Kluyveromyces lactis: one gene and its partners. The protein of the gene in region 1 binds, or shares a complex with, the protein of each later gene. Links are inferred from orthologs where the notes say so. Each region holds a gene or a part of one and is shown on either strand. Other genes may lie near its edges.

Region 1 (5,252 bases):
CGACTGCTCACTGCCATCGCTACTATTTGAAAGTCTTCTTGTTGCTGGTGGCTGTGATCTGTATGCTTTATAGACCCTCTCAATCTGAACATGTTCCGCCAGCTTTGATAGATATCTGATCATGATCTGCCATCGATCCTGCTTATTAAAACTTTTCCTCCTAGTTGGGACGAGAGTATACTGTTTCTTTATAATCTCTCGAAGGCATTGTATCTTCCAACTTAGTGGTACATCATGTTCGTGGTACAGTTTGCTATCATACACTAGTCTTTGAAAGTAAAGATCTTCCGAACTATCCGGTTCCAAGATAAGGTAGGAAAATCCTTTCGGTAACTTGTTTACCGTCCTCACCGGTGTACTTGATAATATACACATTAGCCTAGCCTTATTTTTACACCAATCTACCAGTATGTGATGCGGATCCTCTTGTAACATGGCTATAAATTGTTCTAGATTGTAAACTTTGTCCAGGGCTACACTGCCATCGCCTAATGTTTCTCCATCCTCAGTTGTAGAATCAACCGGATAGAATGGGCTCATCTCCTTTACCTTGAGCCTTTGATAGCAGTATATAAGTGCCCTTAATTGAAGATCTATATCGTCTTCCTGGACGCCATGTCCATATTTTGGAGTCACTGACTCTGTTGTTCCATCTTCAATTGAGAACAGTGCAGAGAACAGATCTGTTAGCATAGGATGTAAAAGGTGGAACGTTCCTATACTAAAATTGTTATAGATGCCTTCTTACTCAATAAAATCAGTGAACTAAGCGATCGGGAGTACTTCCAATCTAAGCCTGGAGACCTACGTTACTTCTCTGCATGTATCGACCTAGATATTCCTTTGTTATTGTTTTTGAATTCCTTAAATCTCGAACTGGATCGGTTTTTATTCAAAGGCTTGTAACAGGAAAAAAGGCAAAAGCGATTCATGTCTCCAGTAATTTCTTTTAAGTATCCCCAGATGTAATTGAATACGCAAACATGTTATTATTATCTATATCTCCGCGGAGTTCATGAATAATGGTGTAATTATTCGCAATTAGTCCAAGGTCGAGAGCTAGCACAACCACGGGTACTTTGTAATGTCAACCAAGAAAGCTTTAACCGAAATTCTGGGGATCAAGTATCCTATTCTAGTAGCACCAATGGCCGGAGTATCCACACCGGAATTGGCAGCAGCTGTATCTAATTCTGGTGGTTTAGGATCGCTTGGACTTGGAGCAAGTTCTGTCGAAAAAGCAAGAAACGCCATAATTGCGACGCAGAAGCTAACCAAGAGTCCATTTCAGGTCAATTTCTTCTGTCATGAGCCAGAAGAGTTGAACGTGGAGGTGGCACGCAATTGGATCGAATATTTGAAGCCAATATTTGCTCGGTTCCATACTAAACCTGAAAAGGAATTAACCAAGATCTATAACAGTTTCTTGGAAGATCCAGAAATGCTTGCAGTGGTGTTAGAATTGAAACCGAAAGTGGTTAGTTTCCATTTCGGAGTGCCATCTGCGAGCACTTTAAAATCATTGAAGCAAGCGGGAGTTGTCACGATGGCAAGTGTGACTCAATTAAGTGAGGCTGAATTGGCTATTGGGCACGGGATAGATATCCTAATCGCTCAAGGTGTCGAAGCGGGTGGTCATCGGGGAATGTTTAACGCATCATTAGATCCGGCAATATCCACGAGAGATTTGGTGAAATTACTAAAAGCAAAGTTGGGCACAACTATTCCTATAGTAGCAGCAGGAGGAATAATGTCTGGTCAAGATATTAAAGGAATGATGGAAGTAGGTGCCAGTGGTGCTCAATTAGGAACCGCATTTGTCCAATGCAAAGAATCGGCTGCGTCAGAAAATTACAGGAAATTATTATTTGACAAAACAAGAAATGACATAACTCAAATCACAAGCAGCATATCAGGTCGTCCGGCGCGAGCTTTGTTGAATAGTTGGCACACTGAGGTGGATATTCCAACTAGAGTGATACATCCAGGGTATCCATTTACATACGATGTGGGGAAGCAGTTAAATGCCGTGTCTATTCCAGATCATGATGGTACCGCAAATTCTTTCGCAGCACATTGGGCAGGATCCAATGTCAGCCGTATCCGTGATATGGATGCGAGACAACTAATGCAAACCCTTGTCGATGAGATGAGATAATTTTCCAGACCGTTACAGCACAGAGCTATGCTGTTTCAAATGTACGAAAATCCCGAATAGCGACAAATTCCACAATGGAACGATGAAGTTACACTAATTGTGCATTATTCTCGTCAGTTACATGACTGCATTTATTTTTTCAATGACGAAGTAGAGTTGCATCTCTTCACAATTTCACTACGACCCTATAAATCCCGGACTACCTTTTGTAAGGAAGAAATCTAATCTTTCGACATCCCTCCTAGCTTGGACAGGAGACGTCTATAACGGATTACATTATTTAAGCATGATGTTGACGATAGCAATGACAGTTTGCAGTTCGAAAAGAAGAGCAGAACTCACCAATTCCTCTATCATTTTAATTTGAACAGTCACGTGAATCGACCTTTGCCTCATTCGGGATTATATATACTATAAAGAAGATATATAAAAAATTACCAATATACATTTTTTGCTGCCATGGAAAATATACGAGAAAGTCTTCATTCCCTTCTCCATTGTTGATACCGATTTTGGCACTCATACCACTTCCAATTACCATTCATACCTTCTTACATTGAATCTAACTATGCCTCTCGTCGGTTTATTGTACCAAGTATTGAAATTCGACGATACTGAAAAATCTGAAAAAAAATGAAAAATCTGAAAAATCACTGAAGATTGATATATTGTAGTGAAGAGATATATTGGTGGGAATGAATTCGCTTAAAGTGATTCGAATCCACAGCTCAGGTCATCACCAACCACTCAAAATAGCCATGTTGTCACTTTTGTTAAGAAGCCCAGTGGTGGTATCCCGTGTCTCATATGCTTCTCCGTTTTTGGTTAGGAGGTTTGCCTCTACGCAAATTGAGAGAACTGTCTCGGATGCAGTTAGAAGAACAGTAAAGCCTTTGGACTCTCGTAAGACTTTCCTAATCGACTCTTACAAAAACCTGATGGAAACCAGTCCGGTAATGTTGTTTTGTCATCATAACAATTTGATGAAAGGGGAGAATGCACACTTCAGAGAAGAAATTAATAAGGTAGGAGGCAAGTTAACAATCTTGAGAAACAATTTGTTCCAAGTATACTTGAGAAACTCACGCAAAAATGACCCAGCTGCTCCAGCGAAACGTTCAGAACAAGACTGGAAGCATCCTTTACTGCCCTTGTTCAAAGGTCCTACGGCAGCAATTTCGTTCCCAGAGACTGATCCGGCAAAGGTAAAAAAAGTCATGAAATTATTGGAAAAAGCCCAAGACAAGTTATTCGTTATTGGCGCCAAAGTTGAAAATGATGCGTACGATTTGAGACAATTGGATTCTTTCAAGGATCTACCAACAAAAAGTCAATTACAATCAGAATTACTGGGACTATTGCACGTCTTGAGCGGTGCTGGTTTAGTTCAAACTTTAGAAGCTGGCTCAAACATGTTGTACCTAACTCTAAAGTCTCACGAAGATAATATTAACCCAGATAAGCAGAAAAACGAGAATGACAGCGAAGGAAATTAAAGTCTTTTGCCCCATCATGAAATGTAATATAAATCATTTTTACGTATCGATGTACTTAAATAAACCCATCACATATTAATATAAACTCCTGTACATATTCTTTGCACGTGACTTTTTTTGATCTCATTTGTATATTGTAAAGAAATAAAAAGTTTTTGAACATGCACTGAATCAATTGAGTCGAGAAAACCTAGGCGATGAGGTTACAATTTTTCAAAGCAGTTACTTCCACCAACCGTTAATGTGTGTTGAATAAACATAATTGAATTCTAACAGTGACTCAAATTTCCTATAACTGCCTTTGTTAGAAAATATGAGTTTTAGTACTAGACGCCAGGCGTATCGTGCTGAGAAGCAAGATCATCGCAAAGAATTGAAACATGTCAAGATCGATGAATCTGTGATTGAAAAGGTGGATAAACTATCTTTACCTAAAAAAAAGTTTTACAGACAAAGAGCACATTCGAATCCATTCAGTGATCATCAGTTGGAGTATCCAATAAGCCCAGCTCATATGGACTGGTCAAAATTGTACCCTCATTTCTACGATAGTGAAAAGAAGAAAATGACGAAAGATGTTACCATTGCGGATATCGGATGTGGTTATGGTGGTCTTATGATCGATTTATCTCCAGAATTTCCCGATGAAATGATCTTGGGTATGGAGATTCGTGTTCAAGTAACGAATTATGTCGAAGATAGAATTATTGCATTGAGAACCAACCACGCGAAGGAAAACGGATATCAAAACATTAATGTATTAAGAGGTAATGCAATGAAATTCTTGCCAAATTTTTTTAATAAGGGACAGTTGTCCAAGATATTTTTCTGTTTCCCAGATCCCCATTTCAAGCAAAGAAAGCATAAAGCAAGAATCGTCACTGATACATTACTAAGTGAGTACGCATATGTGTTGAAAGAGGGTGGTATCATTTATACAATCACCGATGTTCTAGATCTACATGAATGGATGGTAAAACACTTAGAAGAACATCCTCTATTCGAAAGGCTTTCTGAAGAATGGGAAGCACAGGATAAATGTGTAAGCATAATGAGAAATGCTACAGAGGAAGGTAAGAAAGTTGAAAGAAATAAAGGTGATAAATATATAGCATGTTTCGTAAGATTACCAACTCCAGATATAATCTAATATCTGTCGTATATAATACTACATATTACTTCGGGTACTATTCAAGAATATTTGTACAAAAACGAGTTAGAAAGTGAATACCTTAAGTACCTATAAAAGATGCATTATTGAAAACAAGCAGTTGAAAACAAGTGGCAATATCATTAGTTCGGAGGCTGATTATTGGATACGGCACCATACTCGATTTGGTTTGTATCATTGGTGCTCCGTAAGTTTCGTACCTTATTATATATCAAACAGACAGTCTCCGAGCCTCTTCTTATAAATTTTTTCAATGGTTTAGTTTGAGTTCTCTCTTCCTTCCATTGAAGAACCTGGGTCAATGTTGGTGGTTGTATCTCATCTTTATTAAACATGGATTGTGCATTCGAATAAACACTTTTGCGAGATCTCGTTGATGGTGCTACTTCTCCTCCACCACTTACTAGATGAGACTGTTGTTCTATTT
Region 2 (4,813 bases), on another chromosome or scaffold:
TTTTGTAAACATTGAGCTATTGTATGGAACAGGACGAACGAAAGCCTCAGGAAATAACACTCAGTAGTAAGCATCAATAGGATCTAGCAGATTTTCATTGATTGAGATATAGGATTTAGTGAAAGAAATTTAGAATCATATCAAGACGCTTTATTTTGGTTTGTTGAATACTGAAAGGAAAAAAGGAAAATGTCGGATAATTCTGTGAGTTCATTTGTGACTCGTAACAAGACCGCCATCTTGGCAACTGCTGCTGCCGGTGGTGCTGCTATTGGTGCTTATTATTATTATAACCAATTGCAGAGGGCAGAATTGGGTTCTGGTTCCAGTGGTAGTAAGAAGACTTCCAAGAGTGAAAAGAAGAAGAGGGCCGGGAAGAAGAAGAAGGATTCGTCTTCTTCATCAAACGGTTCTGATGTCGTTTATCCAGTAGACGCTAACGGTCAACCAGATTTGTCTAAGAAGGATGAGTTTACTCCAGAACAAGTTGACAAATATGCTTTGGCGTTGAAGGACAAGGGTAATGAATTCTTTAAGGCCAAGGATTTCGAAAAGGCTATTGAATATTATACCTTAGCTATTTCATTGAAAGAGGATCCAGTGTTTTACTCCAACAGATCTGCTGCATACGTCTCAATTAACAATTTCGAAAAAGTTGTTGAAGATACCACTGCCGCTTTGAAATTGAAGCCTGATTACTCCAAATGTTGGTTGAGAAGAGCTAGTGCTTATGAAAACTTGGGCCAATTCTCCGATGCTATGTTTGACTTGTCGGCTGTCTCTTTGTTGGGTGAATACAGCGGTCAATCCGTGGAGCAACTGCTGGAAAGAAACATGAACAAACAAGCCACAAAGGTCTTGGGTGAAAAATTGAAGGAGAACCAGGGTAAAGAATCTCCATTACCATCTAACACCTCTTTGGCATCATTCTTCGGTATCTTCAACCCTGAAACTTCTTTCGATGATTACGATGGCGAAAATGAAGCAGATGTTGAGTTGAAAAAAGGTTTGGAAAACTTGTACAAATGTCAAACCGGATGTTACGAATTGGCTGATGAAGAATTCACCAAGGCTGCCGAGTTATACAAGAAAGAATTAGAATCTTCTCCAGATAATGAATCTTTGAAGAAGAAGGCTGCCATCGCCTTCGAACATGTGGGTATTTTCAAGTTCTTCAAAAATGATCCAATTACCGCGCATATTAACCTGGAAGAATCGTTGTCTTTGAACCCAAGACCTTCTACTTACATCTACATGGCTTTGATTATGGCTGACAAGGGTGAAGCCAACCAATACAAGGAATACTTTGACAAAGCTTTAGAATTAGATCCAAACTGCTCTGCTGTTTACTATCATCGCGGTCAAATGCATTTTGTTGTTGAAAACTTCAAAGAAGCTGGTGCCGATTTCGATAAGGCTAAGGAATTAAATCCAGAAAACATTTTTGCCTACATCCAATGTGCTTGCTTGGCTTTCCGTGACGATAGATTTGATGATTGTGAAACTTTGTTCAGCGAAGCCAGAAGAAAGTTCCCAACTGCTCCAGAAGTTCCAAACTTTTATGCCGAAATTTTGGCTGCTAAGAACTCTCTAGATGCTGCCATCAAGCAATACGATATTGCCATCAAGTTGGAAGATGCTTTACCAGGTATTCACGTCGGTATTGCTCCAATGATTGGTAAGGCCACTGCTTTGATTAGAAACCCAACCGTTGAAAACTTCGTTGAAGCTTCCGAATTATTTGAAGAAGCTTGTAAGATCGATCCAAGATCCGAACAAGCCAAGATCGGTCTTGCTCAACTAAAATTGCAACAAGAAGAAATTGATGATGCCATTCAATTGTTCGAAGATGCTGCCGATCTCTCAAGATCTTTCGATGAAAAACTACAAGCTACTACTTTCGCTGAGGCTACCAAGGTCCAGAAAAAGATCAGAGCTGATCCATTCATTAAGGGTAAGATCGACGAAGCTATTGCAGCCTACCGTGCTCAAGGTCTCGCGTAAATTAGCATGATATTCACGAATGAATTTAATTCATTTCAATATGAGTAAAGCTACAATAGCTCATTGTTTTTGTCTCACCTTAATGACCATAATGGCAACATACCATGCAACATCTAAACGAATGAATTACCAAGAAAGTTATGATTTTACAAACAAAAAGTTGTAGCATTTCACCCAAGTTATTTATGACTCGTAAGCAGCGTGAACTGTGTTAATCGTAAACGACAAGATCTCAACATTACAACGTGAAGAATAAGAAATAGTTATCAATTCTTCACAAAAACAAGACAAAAAGAAACACAGAAGAACAAGAATACGAGAACAACGCTTTTCAATAACAGCTCATTGCAAAATATGTGCTCCTAAATACCCCTGGTTCAAAAACATCATCTTCTACCATTTTGCTAGAAACAAATACGTCTTTCTGTATATACATGTATCTCCCCCATCTCACAATTTAATCAAATTGTAATTTTAAACACTTCGATAGTATATCACTACATACGTTTCAACATAAATGACATTTTTTGTTTTCTCTGAAAGAAGTGTATGTAATAAAAGTTTCTTGTGAGATTATGGCAAGGTACTGAGTGAAAGTGAGCTACAATTCAAGTACTTCATTGTTAACGGACTATAGCAGGATTTACCCCACCAGCGAACTACTTCAAATATGCTATCTTCTATCTTTGGTTCGATGATGAACTTTTCCGCTAGAACTGGACTTCTGGGATCTAAAACTAATGTTTCATCGCTCATCCTCACCAGAAACTTGATGAAAACACACAAAGGTGCCGCAAAAAGATGGAGAAAAACAGCCAATAGCTTCAAGAGGGGCAAGGCTGGAAGAAATCATGGTAATGCTGGATGGAGTAGGAACTCCCTTAAATCATTATCTGGCAGGTCATTAGCAGACTCCACACATATGCATCGTTTAAAGAGATTGCTTCCATACCATTAAGAGATGAAAGGCAATTAAAATAAGATATCGTTTCGATTTCAATCCTGTACATATAACAATGGCATCCCCATAATGAATGACACACCATTTCTTACCATGATTTTCAGTAAAGCATGTCATGAAAAATCAGCGGGTTACTATAATGGATAATTATCATTAATAAATACCTATATACAATTTGCAAACAACGGTAAAAAATGATTAATCATATATATAGTCAAATTAAGTCTCCGAGATATCATTCTCGATCCAACTACCTGTTTTTGGATTCTTTCTTAATTCTACCGTTGGGAAGTAGTGATAGTTTGTCTTTAAGGAAATGGCAAACGGAACATCGTCAAATGTCATTAAGCGTAACTTGCAGTATGTATTATCTGGGATTTCTTTAACAACCTTCAAGAATGTATCCAAATCAGGTGTTGATTGGTCATTGACGTGTGTGATAAAGTTGGTCACTTCTATTCCGTACTGTAACGCCAAAGAAGATGTACCACGAGAAACCGCATATACTTCACTAGGAATAGACGTTTTTACTTGACGCACGGCATGATGAGGAGCTTGTAGTACGCAACCTGCGAATACGACAATTCTAGTGGTTTCTTCAATTTGTACAGTTTTTATTTTCAAATCGATAACCTTCGCATCTCTTACAACCTTGAATAACAACTCAGATTCGATATCCGTATCGTCATCAGTCCCCACGACACCACCAATATCCCTCATTCTTTTTACCAGTTTCCCATTAACTGATAAGATAATATCACCAGGCTCGAGCCTTTCCTTTATTGTTGTATAGGAGTTTCTGGTGACACTGATGAATTGTAATCTGTTTTCTGATTCTTCTTCCATCATCTTAATCCATTCTTCAGGAACACCTCTGATTCTAGCCTGCAATAATGAGATGGAATCAAATCCTGCGTCCACAATAGAAACCTTAGGATTCTTACCAGCCCTGAGAATATCTACAACTTCTTTGATATCCACTACGTCTAAACCCATTAAATACAGTTTTTCCTTGTTACCCATGCAGGATAACCAGATTGCTCTCACTGTACCATCATCTGCCGCTAATATTCCTGATTTACATTTGGTGCTTATATTCGAATCAATGGAGATGACTTCTAGATTGGTTGCTCTATACCTAGGAATGATGTCGTTAGGAACACTCAGAGAAGAGATGCCATTGACTTTAGTCTTGGAACTGATTAAAGTGTTTGAGTACATGTAACCAATGAAATTAGTTTCGTCTCCTCTTTCAAGCCTTTCATTAGCTAGCACTGGTGTGCATACTGGGGCGTCAACTAAAGATGGATCATATTGAACAATAGCGTAATTTTGGGTAGGATGTAAGAATACAACTTTAGCAGGTACAAGAATGGATTCAGCGAACGAGACAAACGTGTTCAAACAGTCATGAGGAACAAAACTACGTGAAACAATAACATATCCCTTCTCAGCATCGAGTACTAAACCACATCCGTTTGTGGGTTCGGGTTCCATGGAGTCCATGGTGATAGCAATAACCGAATGTACAACACATAGACTATGTGACATTTTTGCAAGTTTTTTATTATCATTAATCGGTAGATCTAAAATCTTAGCTTTCTGTGGTTTTATTGGAAGTGGTGGTAATTTCTCAGTGATCTTTTCATAATCCCAAATACCTGTTTTGTCATTTCTAGTATAGATTCGGAACTCACTGCACCAATGACGGTCAATATAAACACTGGTTATTCTTTGTGTTTGAACATCTGTCAAGTTATGGAATTTCACGATTACTCTTTTTTCGTCAGGAATTGTTTTCATGACTTCTATAAAGTCGTCTAGAGTTGGTGTTTCTTTATTATCTAC
Region 3 (5,087 bases), on another chromosome or scaffold:
AAAACAACAGCAACATAAATCCGCACAATAAAATCTTACTTGTGAGTTTGCATAAATTAAGCTATTTACCGTTTTGAGATCACCGCTACGGTTGTCCTAGCCTTTAACTTCTCAGAACCGTCCAAAATCGAATTTGAAAGCGAATAGTTTTTTTATTTTGAAATTTGAAATTTAGGTTAAATTACAAGAAACAAGGAAATTTCAAGAAGTTTGACAAATAACGGAGAGTTTTGAGGACACAAGTGGGAAATAGATCAAGCAACCCGCAGAGTTACTGGTTTGAATTGAAGCGCACGTAAGATATTTGTACAATAAGTTTAATTTGACGTTGTACCGATAAAAAAATAAAAAAATAAAAACTAAAACGGTTAGGTTTTAGGCAATTTTATTCTTTTCCATCCTTTGCTATACTGTGAATTTTTTATTTGCTACTTTTCATTGTGACGTTTCCTTTTCCTCAAGGCACTGGCTTACTATTAACAATATATTCATAGTATCATCTACTGGACACACCCTGGGGTCGATACGGTTACTGAATTTCCTGATTTTCTTACCTACTTGTTTCTGTTTTGGGGTATTTCGAATAAGGGACAAGATACACTTTTCTTCATCATTAGTTTTTTTTTCAACATTCAGATCAGACCTTGGTTTGAAGGAAATCGGATAAAGGCTGGGCCTTATTTAGAACTCTTTCTAGTGAGAGTATAAGAGATATATCACTGTTTTGACTCTGTGCCAACTTTCTCTTTTTTTCCAATCTGAACCGCTATATCTTGCATGAGGCAAGACCTGCAAAGAGAAGAAAGATGAGACCTTTTGACAACGAATCCAAGGGATTTCTTTCTGGCCGAACAGATCAAATTGAATTACCTGTGGTACAGGCTGTTTCAACAAGTTCAAATTCTCAAGAACCACTTCTTTCTAGCAAAGACCCACTACGAGATGGAAGCAACGTGGGGAATAGGTTGAGTGGAAACAGCGAAACTCTGATAACCAACTCTGATGCTGATCATCCTATGGAGACGGATAATAATAACTCTAATCTTAATAATACTAATTCCTCTACTAATACTAATGATAACAAAGATTCGTCATCCAATTCCAGCAATAATGAAAATGGGGACAGTAGCAACAATTCAAATAGAAGGCATAGCAACCATTGTCACAAGCATAACCATCTAAGCAGCACTTCTACCCTCAAGGCAAGAGTTACTTCTGGAAAATATGCATTATATGATTTTCAGATTCTGAGAACTTTGGGTACAGGTTCGTTTGGTAGAGTTCATTTGGTGAGATCCAATCACAACGGCAGGTTCTATGCAATGAAAGTTTTGAAAAAAAACACCGTTGTCAAATTGAAACAAGTGGAGCATACCAACGATGAAAGAAATATGCTAAGTATAGTATCCCATCCTTTCATAATTAGAATGTGGGGAACTTTCCAGGACTCACAGCAATTGTTTATGATCATGGATTACATCGAAGGTGGTGAACTATTCTCTCTTTTAAGGAAGTCTCAAAGGTTCCCAAACCCGGTCGCGAAGTTTTATGCAGCAGAAGTTTGTCTTGCGTTGGAATACCTACATTCTAAAGGCATCATTTACAGAGATTTGAAACCAGAAAATATCCTTTTAGATAAGAACGGACATATCAAGTTAACTGATTTCGGGTTCGCTAAATATGTTCCTGATGTCACTTACACTCTCTGTGGAACACCGGACTATATCGCACCTGAAGTGGTAAGCACAAAACCTTACAACAAATCTGTGGATTGGTGGAGTTTTGGTGTTTTAATCTACGAAATGTTAGCAGGATATACACCTTTCTACGATTCAAACACAATTAAGACCTATGAGAATATTCTAAATGCTCCAGTAAGATTCCCACCATTTTTCCATTCTGATGCTCAAGATCTAATATCGAAACTCATCACAAGAGACTTAAGTCAACGGCTAGGTAATTTACAAAATGGAAGTGAGGACGTAAAGAATCATCCGTGGTTCAGCGAGGTTGTGTGGGAAAAACTACTCTGCAAAAACATTGAAACTCCATATGAACCTCCTATTCAGGCCGGACAAGGCGATACCTCTCAATACGATAGGTATCCAGAGGAAGAGGTTAATTATGGCATTCAAGGCGAAGATCCGTACCATAGTATTTTCACCAACTTTTAGCAGGCATACTTGCTCATGAAATTCAGATATCAACATGCCTCTTATCTTGCATCTACACAATATGTAAACTTTAACACGCCTTTCCCCCCGTTAGTCCCTTTTCTTTTTTTTTTTGTTTTGATATATCGGCTCATTGCCTTCAGAAACGCTGCCGTTATTTGATACATTCCTTTGAATGACCATCGTACAATACTAGATGGATTGATGTACGCACTTCCAATTCAAAATTCGTTTCATTCGTTTTGCTGTACTCTCCAATGGATGCTCGATGCAATAATCTTATTTTTGGAGTATTTATCTATCTATAATCAATGGCATTTACATATTTTGAATGCATGTATAAGACTTCATCACAAGTCCTTCCCTCACGATCCATGCTACATAAATTGTAAACTGGGGTAAGTCATGGCACATTCATTTATGTTTTGGACGTAACTTGCTTCTGTCGAATGATTTCACGTGACCAATGAATTTTTTTCCAAACTATTGAAAATTCAAAAAGTTCAGTGGACATGTCCAGTTGAAATGAGAATGATTTTACGAAATAGATGATTGAAGTGATATTGCTGAAAGTGAAGGGTCCTGGTTGCTCTACTTTATCGTCAAGGTTTATTTTACCGATTGGATACTTATACTCATTGTCACTCTAGAGAAGATCATTAATAAATAATGTCAGGAATCGTTAAACAACAAAAATTTTTGAACAAGATCAGTGCGACTACCGTGAAACCTCAAATTATATTAGATGTATCGAAGTACAGTGCATTGAATGTGAAGTTCCAGTATCAGAATTTCAATGGCCATATGGGTGCCCGTAAGTTCTGGCACGAGTTTTTGCCTTCTCTGCAGTTTTACAACCCTGCGTTGCCAATCAATGTGACCAGAATTAGAAACGATGATAAAAAAGTCGATGTACCATGCATACTAGAAGCTATTGGATCCGATGGGAAGGTTGTAGCTGAAGTTTCAATGAAGCACAAACACTCATCTGAAATTATGGATGAAGTGCTACAGAAATTGGAACACAAAAGAGTACCCCAGGAAGAAATAATAAAGGTATGAGCTCCGACCTTTGACAAAGAAAAACAAACAAACTGGAATACCTAAATATACTACTTTCAAAGTTAGGTCCTGTACATATGTATATAATAAGATACTTTTCATCCGATTTGATGTCTTATTCAAATGACATATCCTTTTGAGATGAGTTGACTCTCTGCCCAAGGATCGTCAAGACATTCAAGAACACGCGAGAAGAAGATTTAAAACGCCAGTATATGGTTACCAGGTGGTTATTTAACTTGAATTTCAGAACGCCTCTTACATCTAATTGTCATTAAGACATCTTACATTAACAGCGACTTCTTCATCTGCGGAAATGGTTTTCTGCGTATTGTTCAGTTGAAATTTTTCAATCTCGAAAATGATAAATCGCTTCAGATCTCATCATCTCATCTCATCTCATCGGTTGACCACAGAAATTATCAACACCCCAAAGAGGCATATAGTAGGGGCATTATTCACAGGTGAAGACTCTCAACCCAACAACACGAATGTCTAATACAGACTCCAGTGATACAGATGATATTCTAACATTTGTACTGGAATCCAAGGGGTTTTTCCACACTGCCGGCTGTGAGATTAGAAGATCTGATTATGGTGGTTTAGGAGTGTTTGCATTAAAGGATTTGAAGGAGGACACTGTACTCCTTAGGATTCCGAAATCTTCTGTTTTCACTGCAGAAAATAGTAGCATTGCCAATCTACTGGTTGATAGCGAGGTAAAAGGCATGTTGGCATTAAACATTGCATATATTTATGAAGTATTCATATTTCAAGTTGAAAGCCATTGGTACAAATATTTGAAGAGCATTTCACACAGACAAAATGGGAGTCTATATCTTCCACCGGCATACTGGGAAGATAATGAGAAAATTTTGCTGAAGAATACTGCATTGGATGTTGTATTCGAGGCGTTGTCTCCACAAGAAGAGATAGAAAATGGTTTCAAAGTTGGTATTGCATTATCCCGTAAGTGGAACGAAGAATTTGGGCTGAAAATACCGTATTTGTTCGACTTCAATTTAGAAGATCAGAAGCAAGTCTCTTCGAATTTTAAAGAATTTGCTGCTATAGCATTCGCCATATCGTCAAGAGTATTTGAGATCGACAACTATCATGATTCTGGATTAGTTGCCATAGCAGACCTTTTTAACCATCACGCAACGAGGCCCGACGTAAGGTTTGAGAGCATGTATGATGTGTGCGATATGTGTGGGGAATTAGGGGATTGCAAGCATGTGATTGCTGAGACGAAGGCATTGGATATGGAGATGGAACAGAGAACTCAAAGAATAACACCAAGGGAAACCGGGACAATAAGCTTGTCAGTTATTGAAGAGTTAGAAAGAGAATTAGACCCTTCAGATTCAGAATCTGTGGAGGAAACTGTTTCTGATGAGAATGCAGAAGAAACTCCTGAGGCAATAATGCCCAAGAACATTGATACTGATGAATGTGTAGATATCATTCTTTCAAACGATGTCAAAGCGGGAGAAGAAATATTCAACTCGTATGGTGACCATTCCAACTCGTACCTATTAGCCAGGTACGGATTTTGCATCGAGGATAATCCACACGATGTAGTTGATTTATCGGAAGAGTTGGTGGAGTATGGACAAAAGAATTCCAAACGGATTGGAGATAGGATGGAATGGTGGGAGGATGAAGTACATGCGGTGTACAAAGAGTGGTACGAGGCAACAAGAGAGGAGTCAGAAGAGGAGGAAGAGGAGGAAGAGGGAGAAGAGGGAGAAGAGGAGGAGAACGAGAACGAGTCCCCAGCCTCCGACTCTGATTCGACGTCCTCAGAACTTTCTTCGGAAGAAACCCCAGAAGAAAATGACGCCTGGG

Evidence for each region. The genes of interacting proteins can lie anywhere in the genome.
Region 2: MRPL11 (region 1) and MRP35 share a complex: the UniProt entries of both Saccharomyces cerevisiae proteins name them as parts of the mitochondrial large ribosomal subunit. The link is inferred for Kluyveromyces lactis from reciprocal best matches to the Saccharomyces cerevisiae genes MRPL11 and MRP35.
Region 3: MRPL11 (region 1) and MRP49 share a complex: the UniProt entries of both Saccharomyces cerevisiae proteins name them as parts of the mitochondrial large ribosomal subunit. The link is inferred for Kluyveromyces lactis from reciprocal best matches to the Saccharomyces cerevisiae genes MRPL11 and MRP49.

What each region holds. Positions count from the first base shown.
Region 1 is NC_006037.1:291,731-296,982, reverse strand, and holds MRPL11 (mitochondrial 54S ribosomal protein uL10m), read left to right. Parts: upstream 1-2,916; coding exon 2,917-3,654; downstream 3,655-5,252. Other genes in the region: KLLA0_A03311g (uncharacterized protein), read right to left, coding at 1-693; KLLA0_A03289g (putative nitronate monooxygenase), read left to right, coding at 1,085-2,158; TRM8 (tRNA (guanine46-N7)-methyltransferase), read left to right, coding at 3,968-4,804; KLLA0_A03223g (uncharacterized protein), read right to left, coding at 4,948-5,252. UniProt on the Saccharomyces cerevisiae protein: Component of the mitochondrial ribosome (mitoribosome), a dedicated translation machinery responsible for the synthesis of mitochondrial genome-encoded proteins, including at least some of the essential transmembrane subunits of the mitochondrial respiratory chain.
Region 2 is NC_006042.1:2,240,265-2,245,077, forward strand, and holds MRP35 (mitochondrial 54S ribosomal protein bL35m), read left to right. Parts: upstream 1-2,674; coding exon 2,675-2,962; downstream 2,963-4,813. Other genes in the region: protein channel TOM70, read left to right, coding at 190-2,004; NMA111 (Nma111p), read right to left, coding at 3,185-4,813. UniProt on the Saccharomyces cerevisiae protein: Component of the mitochondrial ribosome (mitoribosome), a dedicated translation machinery responsible for the synthesis of mitochondrial genome-encoded proteins, including at least some of the essential transmembrane subunits of the mitochondrial respiratory chain.
Region 3 is NC_006038.1:621,693-626,779, reverse strand, and holds MRP49 (mitochondrial 54S ribosomal protein mL61), read left to right. Parts: upstream 1-2,843; coding exon 2,844-3,236; downstream 3,237-5,087. Other genes in the region: KLLA0_B07205g (cAMP-dependent protein kinase), read left to right, coding at 807-2,174; RKM3 (protein-lysine N-methyltransferase), read left to right, coding at 3,728-5,087. UniProt on the Saccharomyces cerevisiae protein: Component of the mitochondrial ribosome (mitoribosome), a dedicated translation machinery responsible for the synthesis of mitochondrial genome-encoded proteins, including at least some of the essential transmembrane subunits of the mitochondrial respiratory chain.